3 linked regions of the Caenorhabditis elegans genome follow. The protein of the gene in region 1 interacts with the protein of each later gene in a pairwise test. Each region holds a gene or a part of one and is shown on either strand. Other genes may lie near its edges. The genes, in order: rcan-1, F44A2.7 and clec-28.

What was found.
Region 2: the proteins of rcan-1 (region 1) and F44A2.7 interact in a two-hybrid assay, tested with the Caenorhabditis elegans proteins (one large-scale study listed by BioGRID).
Region 3: the proteins of rcan-1 (region 1) and clec-28 interact in a two-hybrid assay, tested with the Caenorhabditis elegans proteins (one large-scale study listed by BioGRID).

Annotation. Positions count from the first base shown.
Region 1 is NC_003281.10:5,681,796-5,686,185, reverse strand, and holds rcan-1 (Calcipressin-like protein), read left to right. Parts: upstream 1-2,087; 5' UTR 2,088-2,156; coding exon 2,157-2,276; intron 2,277-2,324; coding exon 2,325-2,437; intron 2,438-2,487; coding exon 2,488-2,748; intron 2,749-3,418; coding exon 3,419-3,548; 3' UTR 3,549-3,884; downstream 3,885-4,390. Other genes in the region: pst-2 (Adenosine 3'-phospho 5'-phosphosulfate transporter 2), read right to left, coding at 3,973-4,390. UniProt on the Caenorhabditis elegans protein: Inhibits tax-6/calcineurin A phosphatase activity and thereby negatively regulates calcineurin-mediated functions.
Region 2 is NC_003283.11:9,319,564-9,323,513, reverse strand, and holds F44A2.7 (N-acetyltransferase domain-containing protein), read right to left. Parts: upstream 2,030-3,950; 5' UTR 2,012-2,029; coding exon 1,898-2,011; intron 1,709-1,897; coding exon 1,642-1,708; intron 1,413-1,641; coding exon 988-1,412; intron 945-987; coding exon 609-944; 3' UTR 585-608; downstream 1-584. Other genes in the region: ntl-2.2 (NOT2/NOT3/NOT5 C-terminal domain-containing protein), read right to left, coding at 1-130; kvs-3 (BTB domain-containing protein), read right to left, coding at 2,633-2,916, 3,771-3,860.
Region 3 is NC_003283.11:16,864,054-16,867,859, forward strand, and holds clec-28 (C-type lectin domain-containing protein), read left to right. Parts: upstream 1-1,650; 5' UTR 1,651-1,687; coding exon 1,688-1,883; intron 1,884-1,929; coding exon 1,930-2,106; intron 2,107-2,150; coding exon 2,151-2,195; intron 2,196-2,251; coding exon 2,252-2,400; intron 2,401-2,447; coding exon 2,448-2,592; intron 2,593-2,635; coding exon 2,636-2,764; intron 2,765-2,805; coding exon 2,806-3,173; 3' UTR 3,174-3,240; downstream 3,241-3,806. Other genes in the region: clec-33 (C-type lectin domain-containing protein), read right to left, coding at 3,625-3,806.

The sequences.
Region 1 (4,390 bases):
TTTAGGCTTAATTCAAGATCCAATAGAAATTGTTCATTAACAAAATAAGCGTTCACACATTTTTTTAACTGTGATAGGTTCCGTGCATTTTGCAACAAAAAACAGCAGATCGGATAGTACTTGTGATTTTGATTTTTTAGTTTTGAACGAAAAAATCAAATCAGCAGATCAAATAAACTATTTTAGATCAAGGACATTGATCAAATATTTGCGAAATACTTTTGTAAATTGACCGAATTACACAACAAAAATTGTTTACTAAATCAGTATTATTTTTTACGGTAACTTTAGTTTCGAAAATAACTCTTGATAAATCTTCCGGAACAGTACCTTAACTCCTGTTTTTTTTTCAAAAATCAAAACAAATTTCAAAAACATTTCATAGAATTCCAGAGCTACAAAACAGTGATAATGTGTCAAATTCAACACCTCCTTGTTTCGTTTCTCTCGTGTTTTTTTCTTCTTCTTTTACTGCTCCGCGAGCATCAAAATATCTGTGTAAATGCACGTGTTTTCCTACTTCTCTCACTCGTGGTTCATTTCATCTCCTATTTTTGTCATAAGGTTCTGTTTTTAGACATGTTTTTTCTTGAGTTTAGAATCGATTCTCTATCAATTTCAATTTCGCTCTAAAGATAAAAATTTGAATTTCTAGTTACAAAATGTTGTTGCAGTTGTCCATTTTTTAAAACGAAAGGCTTCTCCAAGGGAATCGTGGTCCACAAGTGAAGTGTGATTCCCAAAACTGAGCGTTTTGTACTCTTTTCGAACAATCTCCATACGTCTTATGTGAATGGATGTCATTCCTAAACCTCTGACCGATTTTCATTCCACTCGGCTGCTCGCAGAGTTCAGAGGCTTAACCTCTTGATCGTTTTTCTTTTTTTAGTCTTGCTGTTTCTCCCAGCTCGAATTGTATTCAAATTTCTGATGAAACTGCGTCAGCGCTCTGCTGCGCCTGGGGGAGATTATGGAAATTTTTGTGGGCTTTTTTTCGCTTTTTGAATTTTGGTGCGTCTAATATCAGAGTATTGTCTCATATTTTACGAATTTCTAGTCCTTGGTTTCTCGGAATTTTAAACCAATTTGGTGAATTTAAGAAAAGTTGCCGTATCTTTTCAAAAGCACACACTGATTTTCTAAAAATTTTGATCGTGGTAGGACCCTTTCTGCATCAAAAATAGATGTATCTTTGCAATTATAATTTCTGCCATTTCGTGTTCCATCCCTCCACGTCACACAGAAATAATCCAATGTTCAGTTTCACCGACCACGTGAACAAACATTGACATCATTTCTGTCCGCTTCCCGGTCCAGTTTTTGATGGTTTCCGTGCGGATCAGAAGAAGAGAACACATTGTATCTGAATATATATATATTGGCACGAGGCAGGCCACCCCATTCTGCACGAATCTTTTGTCGTTTATTGTAGGTCTCGCCACGATTCAAGTTATTTTTGAAGCTAATTATTAAGAGAATACCCTAAAAGGTTCATTTTTACAAGATTTCATAATAATTCTCAATTATTGAGAATAATTTTCGAAATGTTGAATCAAAAATTGGATTATTTCGTTATTATAAGAACTTTTCGTCTCTAGGAACTTGGAAGCATAAGAAAAACAGCAAATTTCCCGCCTCAAAAATTCCAAGAGTTTTTGTTCAAAATTCTATATTCAGAACGGGGGGACTAAAAGATTTGTTGTTTTTGTCGAAAAACCGAACAATAAATGTTTTTTCTTTTGCTTTAAACCACCCACACTCATGCACCATGAGTCATTTGTTCCAAAAATTTGAAATTCCCTTGATGGCCATGGCTACTGGTTTACTGGAAAATCTATCTTATTCAGTCTACGTCTCACTTTCCTTCTGCTTTTTTTATGGATATTTCTTCTCGAGACCACTGTTCTTTCTTCCTTTCTCTTGACCATCTTCATCATCACCGTCATCACGTTGTGTTTTCAGAGTTTTCAAGCTCCAGAATCCATGTGATTTTTTTTTCGTCTAAATTGTGCCCTCCGGCACCCGATTTCCGTTTTGAAACGCCCACACCATGAAAAGAAGATAGAAAAAATGAATCTTTTTTTCAGGCTTCAGTTCTTCTTTTTCTCCCAAACTCGGTGGTTGCTGAAATTTTTTCTATAAGTTAACAACAAAAAATGGTGGCTGATAACTCGGAAAAATCAACGAAATCCGTTGCCAATGGATCATTGATCAGCACTGTTTCCAGTAAAGATGATCTTCCAAATGCAATTATTGTGACTCAAGTACCAGAAGATGTAAGCTTTTGATTTCAAATTGGCTCTACTTTTAACTTTTATTTATAGGTATTCGATAATAAACAAGACAAGGCAAACTTCTCATCTCTATTCACACAAATCGAGAAAGACATTCATTTCGATTTCCTGCGCAGCTTCCGACGAGTTCGAGTAATTTTCAGGTGAGTCAGAGGAAACCGCCAATTTTCAATAACTTTTGTTTTGTTTCCAGCTCCCCCGAAAACGCTACAGCCGCCAAACTTATCGTTCAAGGATTCTCTTTTAAAGGGCACGAGTTGAAAGCTTTTTTTGCACAAAGGATCTACATGAGTGCCAATTCCCAAATGCTTTCCCCCCCACCACTCGAAAAACAGTTTTTAATTTCACCACCATGTTCTCCACCAGTCGGATGGGAGCAGACTAAAGATATGCCACCGGTTGTATGCAATTTTGATTTAATGGCCAGACTTGCGTCATTTGCTATCGATGAAAAGTAAGTTTATATGACGTTTATCAAAAGTTGAAAAATGTGAAAAAAGGGGTCTATAAGTTTGGAGTTTTGCAAGCCTGGAATACTGTTTCTACTTTGTATCACACAGCGCTTATTACGGGAACACCACATTTTGAGAATGCGTTTTGCGCAACATATGCAAAATATCTCGTAGCGAAAACTACAGTATTTTTTTTTAAATGACTACTGTAGCACTTGTGTCGATTTACGAGCTCGATTTTTGAAATTAATTCCTTTTCGAATAGTGTGTCGTATAATAACGTCGTATTCTTATTTTGCTCAATTTTAATATTCTTTCATTAAATCAATGATTTTAGTTAGTTTTAAAATCGAGCCAGTAAATCGACACAAGCACTATAGTAGTCATTTAAAGAATTACTGTAGTTTTCGCTACGAGATATTTTGAATAGTTGTGCAAAACGCATTCCCAAAATTATATGTTCTTGTAATAGTTGCTACATGCTCAATTTTTTTATTATTATTCATATCTCTGTAAAGTTTGACATCTGAAGCAACCACTATGACGTAGATCTTGGCGAGACCCACTCAGAAGAAGCGTGTGCCTTTAAACTGAAGTGCCAGAATTTCGCGAAAGTACAATAAACTAAATATTGAAATATTTTAATCAATTTTTTTCAAATCCAAAATTCAGATATGAAGTACACAATGGAGACGAGCTGACACCAGCAATCATTGTTCATCCATGCGAGACCCCAATTGACGTACCATCAGCAATTGAAATGCCACGAACTCCACGCCCTTCATCTCCATGTGAACAGTAATTATCTTGGATATCCCTTTCCTTCTCATTCTTCTTGTTATTCATTTTTCTCTTCCAGCTTTACAATCATCCTCATTCTATTTGTGTTGCACTCCTTCTTCTCCAATTTTTTCATTTTTTCCTTGTTTCAACTTCAATCCGCAGAGCTTATTCTGCCGCGGGTAGACGTGTCTCTTCCTAATCCAACAATCCACTTATTTTTGCTGATATTTTGTTTTTGTAAATATATCCCAAAAATTGTTTACCACCCAATACTTACTATATATTCCTTTTTATGGAATGAATCTTCAAAATGAAAAAAAAAGAAAATAATGCAAATAAATTATTTGTATTTAAAAGAACTGACAATATCACATGAAAAGAAGGAAAAAGCAAGTATAATATACCCGAGCCCTGATAAAAAGTTATTCGTTAATATTTAAGTTCTAAACCGTCATTGGATCCTTCCTAGCAACAGATACATCATGATATCCCATTGCTCTCGCCACGAATCTTCTTATCATATTATCCCAAGACGTCTTGTTCTTGCTGTACAAATTCAAATAAATTGCCAGCATCACCACAGATCCCGCATAAACATATTCGATGGTGAACGGCTTCGAGAAGAGCATGAACGACAGAATTATAGTCAGTGCCTTGCGAAGAGTTGTCACAGTAACCGCAACAAGTGCTCCAAACACTTTGATATGAGTGAGCACAACGTTGACACCGAGATATCCAAGACATGAGAGGATCAGTGCGTAGCCGAATGTTTTCCACGAGTTCTCCAGGAAAAATGGAATTGCACTGAAGACTTCACCGGAGAGCACGACAAATGCGAAAATGAACACTGAGCCAATTCCA
Region 2 (3,950 bases), on another chromosome or scaffold:
CACCGGTCGCTGTTTGAGGACGTAAATTTTTCCACTGTGTTTCGTTGTGGGTGGAGCCCGAAGAAGACAAAGCCGACGAAGTGTTTTTCGCCGGCGCTGATCCCGTCGCTCGACTTCCACGGCGGACCATTTTCGAGTGTGTCACTCGTCCCGTGGGAGGTACTTCTAATATCTGTGGTCTGAAATTAAAATATAGTATTTAAAAGTGGGCATCATTTATTAATTTACCTGTGCGCCAAAGGGTTCTTTGCTAACCCAGATTTTACAAGAAATTACTGGACAAGAGGTATCAGTTAGTCTTCTTGTGAAATTCTGAAATAGAAACAATGAATATTTAAAGAAAATAATTAAAAAGAAAAGTAAAACGTCAACCTTTTGAAGTTTAAACTTTTATGAATCCTAAAAAAATGTGGCGCGCAATGAATGAATGTTCTGTTTGCCGCAAGTTTGCGTGGGATACGGTATCCCGCGTATTACAGACGAAACATCATAACTGCCGAGCTAATTTTATATCGTTTCTGAAATTAAAGTATAATTCATGAATAGCAAGAAGGCAGATTAAAAATGCCTTATTTAAAATTATATATTCACAAAATATTTATTTCAAATCAAACATAACCATGCGCACAATGACGAATACCAAAAACCTTCTTCTCATCAGTTTTGATGATTTTTTGAGTGAATTGACTTCTACAGAACTCTTTTGTTACAAAAACACCGTCACAGAATGGGGTTAAAACGAATGGAATAGCTAAATTTGTGGAAGGATATATCGTAGAGAGACTTTTAAACGTTGAGAATTCGAAAGAGTTTAAAATTGATTTGAGGATCATAGCAGCGATTTCTGGGCAATCGGAATATAGAGGTGAGATGGTGAGACGATTGAGCGATACTTCACGGATAGCTCCGAAACCCACACAGTTGCCGTTTGAATCTACAGCCATCTAAAATTAAAACATTTGAAGAATTAAAGAAGGGAATACATACTTTTGAATGTACTCCACAAGCCATTAACCAAGTGTTAATAACTTTAGTTCTGCTCATCTTACAAATTCCTTTATCGTATTCCGATACACTATCGTACTTCAAATCTTCCACAGTTACCCCATCAACTTCTTTGATTCCTGATGGAATTTTCAAATTTTCAATTTGTATTACTGCTGAGCAATGAAAGTATGGGCTCAACTCTTTGAACCCATAGCGTTTTTCATACCACTGCCACATTGTTCCAACTCCAAAAAGAAAGCAATTATGATCTCCATAGATTGATTGTATTTTGTCAAAAAGATACTTTCCAAATGATCGATTACGGAAATCGACAAGGCAATAGAAAAATGCAACCGTAAATAGAGGTGTCCCATCCTGAAGATCACTTCTAGCTAGGGATACTGAAGCTACGTACCGGTCGGTTCCTATAAAAATAATTAATTTTTTTAATCTTGCAATAGGTTGGTAGGTATGCATGTAAGCAGTCAGCTGTGAGCTTGGCACCTAGGCTGACACGTAGGAGCATAGTTATGGGAAAAGGAAGAGATAGTGGCGCGAGTGCTAAACGCTAAAGCTGACAACACTAAGATTGTGCATTAAATTTTAAAAAGCGAGCAGTCAGTTTTTTTTGATCGTAGAAGTTGGATAAATTACCTTTTTGTTGAATCATGACCATCCAGTGCTTGGAATAATTATTTTTCCATATGTCGTAGTCATTTTCCTAAAAGATCACATAAAGTGATTAAAGATTATTTTGTGATTTTCCTTGCATACTGTCCAAATTATAGTGAACGAAAATAAAATATTTTGTCGGTTAACAAAGTTTTTGAAAAGATTGAGGTGATAATAAAAATTTGGAACTGATGGGTGAAATAAGTTAGGCAAGTTATAAAGACATCTAAGTTCATACCTGAAATGCCCATCCTTCAGTAGTAGATACTAGATGCACAAACTCTTTGAATACATCATTTGGTGGATTGTAGGTCAAAATGAATTCATCGTCAATTATATCAACTTCTGTCATATTTATTTATCTGAAACTCAATTCGTAAGAAAACTTTGCGTACATGTTGAGAACAACGTCGGTGCAAAACTGGGAAGCGAAATGGAAGGGTCTCCTTATCGTTTTTCGCGACTTTTAGTCTGATGAAAAAAAAAAAAAAAAAAATTAATTACAAGTTTAGTATGATCGTTTTTATCAGTAAAAAAGGATGAAGAAACGGTACGGGGGTCGGTACAGATAATTTATTATTGTTTGAAAAATGTGAAAACGATGGAGTTCAGAAATTGAAGAAATCGGAAATCGAGTGGACATTAACCCAAAGGTACCTAACCAGAAAATGAGAAGAGATCTATGGAGATTCTAGAGTGGCAAGTTTTTGACACCAATAATAGGAATATCAGAAAAGGGTTCAATTTGCTTTGAATTTTAGAATAATTCGCACAATTTCAGCACTAATGAAATGTCCTAAAATTCAAATTCTCTGACAAACCTAAACAATTAATGAAAGAAATAAGGAACATTTTTGGAGACAAAAAACTGGGACAAAATCGAACCCGTTTGGTGTATATTTACAAATAAAAGGGGTAAATTAAAAACAAGAAGGAGAAAAATGATTGATAAGATAAATAATAATATTAACAATCAGAATCCAACATATCGTTTGCTCTTCTTTTTCACTGGTTGGGCAGCCGGTGCTCCATTATTCAATGGGTGTACAGTCCGATGCACAATCATGTGCCCTTGTTCTTCGTCTCCATCTCCACCGCTCCACCCTCCTGTCGATTCAGCAAATTTGTCGATTATCATTGAAATTGGGAATGCGAGCACAATGATTCCACACACTGAGGCCAAAGCAGCAACCACTTTTCCTCCAGCAGTTATAGGCACCAAATCACCATAGCCAACTGTGGTCATTGTTATGACACCTGAAAATAATTATATTAGTTTAAGAATAGGAAGCCCACGAGTAGTCATGGTACCGCATCTTGGTCTAACTTCTGGAATCCGTGGCACCACGTGTTTTTGCAAGATGGAAGTCACTACAGTTTTTTCAAATGAAGTATACAACAAAACGATTGTGAAGTCAAACTCACAAATCCACGTATTGGCACGGCTTTCAGAGGTTAAATCTAGATGAAAGCACTAACCGAACACTTCATAAACTTTTGAAATTTGCATTATTCTAGCAAAATTTCATTGTACTCTGCAGCCATAATCAAAATCCCATTAAAAAATTCACATAAAACAATTTCAGTCAAACTTTTGGTAAGTTACCAAAAATTTTGAGAAATTCGGCATTTTTGTGAAATGTACTGCAATTTTGCATTTTCGGATCTATATCATGTTTAGATACAAATAATCAAAAGATAAATATTTACCTATAAAATTTTTAAAATTGAATTTTGCAACTAAAAAAAAAAGAAAATAACATCAACACTTAAACTACATGTTTGGCATAATCTAAAATAGGAGTTGTATATTCATATTCAACTATAGTCATTTTTCCTAAATCCTTAAAATTTATTTTTGATGTTTCTGAAATGAGTTGCCCATCCGACGTAATTTCAAAATCAAGTAAAACAGTCTATCATACTAAATATATCATTTCACACTATGATTATCATAATATCTTATCTTTTGCAAAATAACAGTAAAGGTTTCAGACTTCAACCTTTTTATCAGTTTTAAAATTCAACGAAACACCAAGTATGTTTTCCATAATTTAGAAATTTCGAATAACATCGCTCCATTAATTGTTTGAAGTTTTCAAAGAACTTACACCACCAGCAGGCTGCTGGAATACTGTAGAACTTGGAGTTGGGCTCATCTCGCTCGAAGAAATAAATTGCAGTTGAGAACAGCATGATTCCTGTTAAATTTCAAGCATCAACATTTCATTCATTTTCACGGGTTAAAATTCATTTTCGTTTTTTCTGTTTTACAGTTTTCTAGCATACGA
Region 3 (3,806 bases), on another chromosome or scaffold:
TTTTCATGATTTTTTAAGGTAGAAAAGCAACTTTTGCAATGCCCATAAAGGCGTGGTTTCGAGGAGCCGGGATTTCAGCAGTAAGCCGGCGGCGGGTTTTTTTCGCTTTTTGCGTGCTGTAATTTTTATTTTTCCGTTTTCTGTTCTAAATTTTATTTCTTTTTTTAAGTGTTCAGATAGTTTTTAAATGGGAATAAACATGGATATTTCTGGGTAAAAACTTTGAAAACTGAGAGAATCTGGATGCTGAGTTTTTTTTTCTATTTCTGAAGTTCAGACTACGTCGGGTTCTGAAAATAACATGTGCAATATGAAACATTCAAAATTTAAAGGTTTATAAATTCAACACACAATTCCTGCCGGCCGTTTACAAAGAAACCATGAGGTTTCGGTGCATTCACCAAACTGTTCATGGTAAGGCTTCAAGGTTCGACTTATGCCCCTTTTAATGTTGTTAATTGAAGATGATAATAGTGATCACAATTACAACAATAATTGTTACGTACGCTACGATAAGTCGTCCACCATTGCTGATGCTCAGAAGTTCTGCAAAACAAAGCACGGCGGCAACCTCGTTTCAATCACTTCGGCCAATGAAAATCGTTACATTCAATCAATATACATTGGCGGTGGATATATTACACTTGGCGCAGTGGTTCCAAACTACAACGTCATATATTGGATGGACGGACCACCAGCGACATATAATATTCAACATTATACGAATGGAACTTGTCTGTTTTTGAATCTTTCATGGGAAGGCAGTGGTGATGACTGGCACACTGTCGAATGCGCCGATAAATCATGGTTTCTGTGTAAACGGCCTATAGGAATTGACTATTGGTAGAGATTGACTTTAGATAATGAATATTAACTGAAAACTGAACCATTTTGAATTTTCTGAATATCAATCTCATATATCGAATACTCATGAAAACAATAAATCATGAAATTAATAAGCGTATTTTTTTGAAATGAATACTTAATTAATAGTACGAGTGGAAGAGCACATTGATAAGAGAACACGATGGCATGGATTACTTACTGCTTATGAGTCAAATACGGCACATGAGCTCGGCCTGAAGGGTGGGTCCAAATTTCCGGAAATTGCTGAAATTTTTGGATTGCCTCACACTTTCGATAAAAAAGGAGATTCCCAATCTAAATTGATGTACTCGGAACAAAATATGTACATTGTATTCACGGTTGTTGTAGTTAGAGTCAATAGGTAATTTTGAATAAATTAATATACCGTATTTCCTCTATTAGTAAGTCATGCAAAACTAATTTTCGAACATGTTTTTTCTCATGTACGATGATATTATTTCGATTAATGAAATGATCGGAAGAGTTGATAAGAATATTAGTTCAATTGAAGGTGAAGTGGGGCCAGTGGAGAGAATGTTGACAATTACTCATATAGTGCAAAAATTCCTGTCACCTTAAAGTTTTTTAAAGTTTTTTTTTTTTTGAAATTACATCCAAACGGTGACAAAAAAAGACACGAATAAATTTTCACGGAAGCGATGATACACGAAGCAACCACTCGGTTCCAAAGAAATTAATCTTCTGTTTAAAGCACAACGTCAAGGATTATATTAAGAGAATTAACTTTTCTTATCACCACTCCTTCCACAAAGACAATTATTCATTTAATTTTGAGTTTTTGTTTGCAAAAAGTGTAATAATGTCCGATATTGACGAGATTCAAGAGCTTCAAGAACCATCTCAACCAAAAACTCAACCTTATTCCGAAAAATTTAAACTTTTCATGACAAATCATTGGAAAAATATATTGATTGGAGGATTAGCTGAAATCATAATAATCGTTTTTGCTTTTATGTTGACCTTTATTTTGGCGAAACAACCAGCATGTGAAACAGGTATTTAAATAGTTAAACTACAATAATATTTTTGCTTGTTTGTTAGGTATAGTAACGACTTCTATATTCCACACTAGTACTCTACCCAGCACATTGACATATGCCTCTTCTTCTTATTCTACAAAACCTGACAAGAGTTCTATTGCAACAAGTACTACCTTAAAACCGAAAACTTTGCCTGTTACGACAACATCAAATTCACTCTCAACACATACAAAACTTGGTGAGAGATACATAAATATTCCATTATTAATAAAATGAATTCAGACACAACATCAATTTCCGCAACTTTCGCTACTATGCCCACCCCGGGTAAGATTTTGGGTTTTATCAGTTACTCTAAAAAGACTTTACAAATTATTTTCCAGTTTCGGGAAATCTCACTTGCGCTTCTGGTTTTACTTACGTCGGCAACAAGTGCTGGAAGTTGGTCACTGTTCAGAAGAATAGAGCAGATGCCGACCAGGCTTGCTTCAGTCTAGGTGGATCCACACTTTTCTCGATCAGAAACGACCAGGTACGGAACACTCACAAGAATTTCCGTTTTTTAAATATTTTGAACAGGATAATCAAGCTGTGCTGGAATTTTTGAAAGATCAGCACGTTGAGAACCTTTGGACCGGATTAAACTGCGTCGGGATAAACCCGTTTACGTGTACCTGGGATGTCAAAAGCGGAACCACCTCCGCCTACAATAACTTTGCCGATGGTAGTGCTCAGAATTGTTGGAATATTCACAGAATGATTTTTAGGTTATCCGAATAACATGGCTGGAGGTTGCATTTATTACAAGACTACTGGAACGCAAGCCGGGCAATGGTCAAGTGGATCGTGTAATGAGATTATGAGTTTTGTGTGCGAGCTACCAGCAACCATTTACGGTGAGAATTAGAGAAATTACAAATTACACGTTTGATTTCAGATAGCACCTGCAAATACAACTACAACAACTATTGTTACACCCCATACGATCAGCTGCAAATCTCCAGCGATGCGCAGAGCATCTGCGCATCATCGGGTTCCAATTTGGCCACAATTCATTCTGCAAATGAAAACCGCTTTTTCATGGGCATCTTTCCTTCGTTTTCAATGATTGCACTTGGCGGAGTTGCTTTGTCAGGCGACAAGGTCATATGGTATGATGGAACACCTTCAACTTACACAAATATAAGAACGCTTACACGAGGGAACTGTATTCTGCTCTCAAATGATGTCGGACGCTGGGATGGTTACAAATGCATGATTGACAGAGCAAAGTTCATTTGCAAACGAAGAATTATAGGAAAATAATTAATATATTTGTTCAATAAATGTTTCACACAATACCCTATCATCTTGAAAAAAGTAGATAAATTTTTTAGGGGTTTCCCAAATAATAAATATATTAATTTATTCAAAATTAATTGTTAATTTTAACAACACAACAACCGTTTATTTTTTGCCGGATGCACCAATTTAGATTGGCGAGTGCGGCAATCCAAAAATTTTTTTGAAATATCCGGAAATTCGGACCCACCCTCGGTTCAGACCGAGGTCATGTGCCGTATTTGACTCATAAGCTGTAGTAAGTAATCCATGCCATCGTGTTCTCTTATCAATGTGCTCTTTCACTCGTACTATTAATTAAGTATTCATTTCAAAAAAATAAGCTTATTAATTTCATGATTTATTGTGATAATCATCATAGTCAGAAAATTCAAAATGGTTCAGTTTTAAGTTAATATTCGTTATCGAAAACCAATCACTGTGCATAATCAATTCCAATGGGCCATTTACACAGAAACCATGATTTATCAGTGCATTCGACAGTTTCCCAGAAATCACCACTGCCTCCCCATGAAAAATTCAAAAACAGACAAGTTCCATTCGTATAATATAGAATATTATTATATGTCGCTGGTGATCCATCCATCCAATATATGA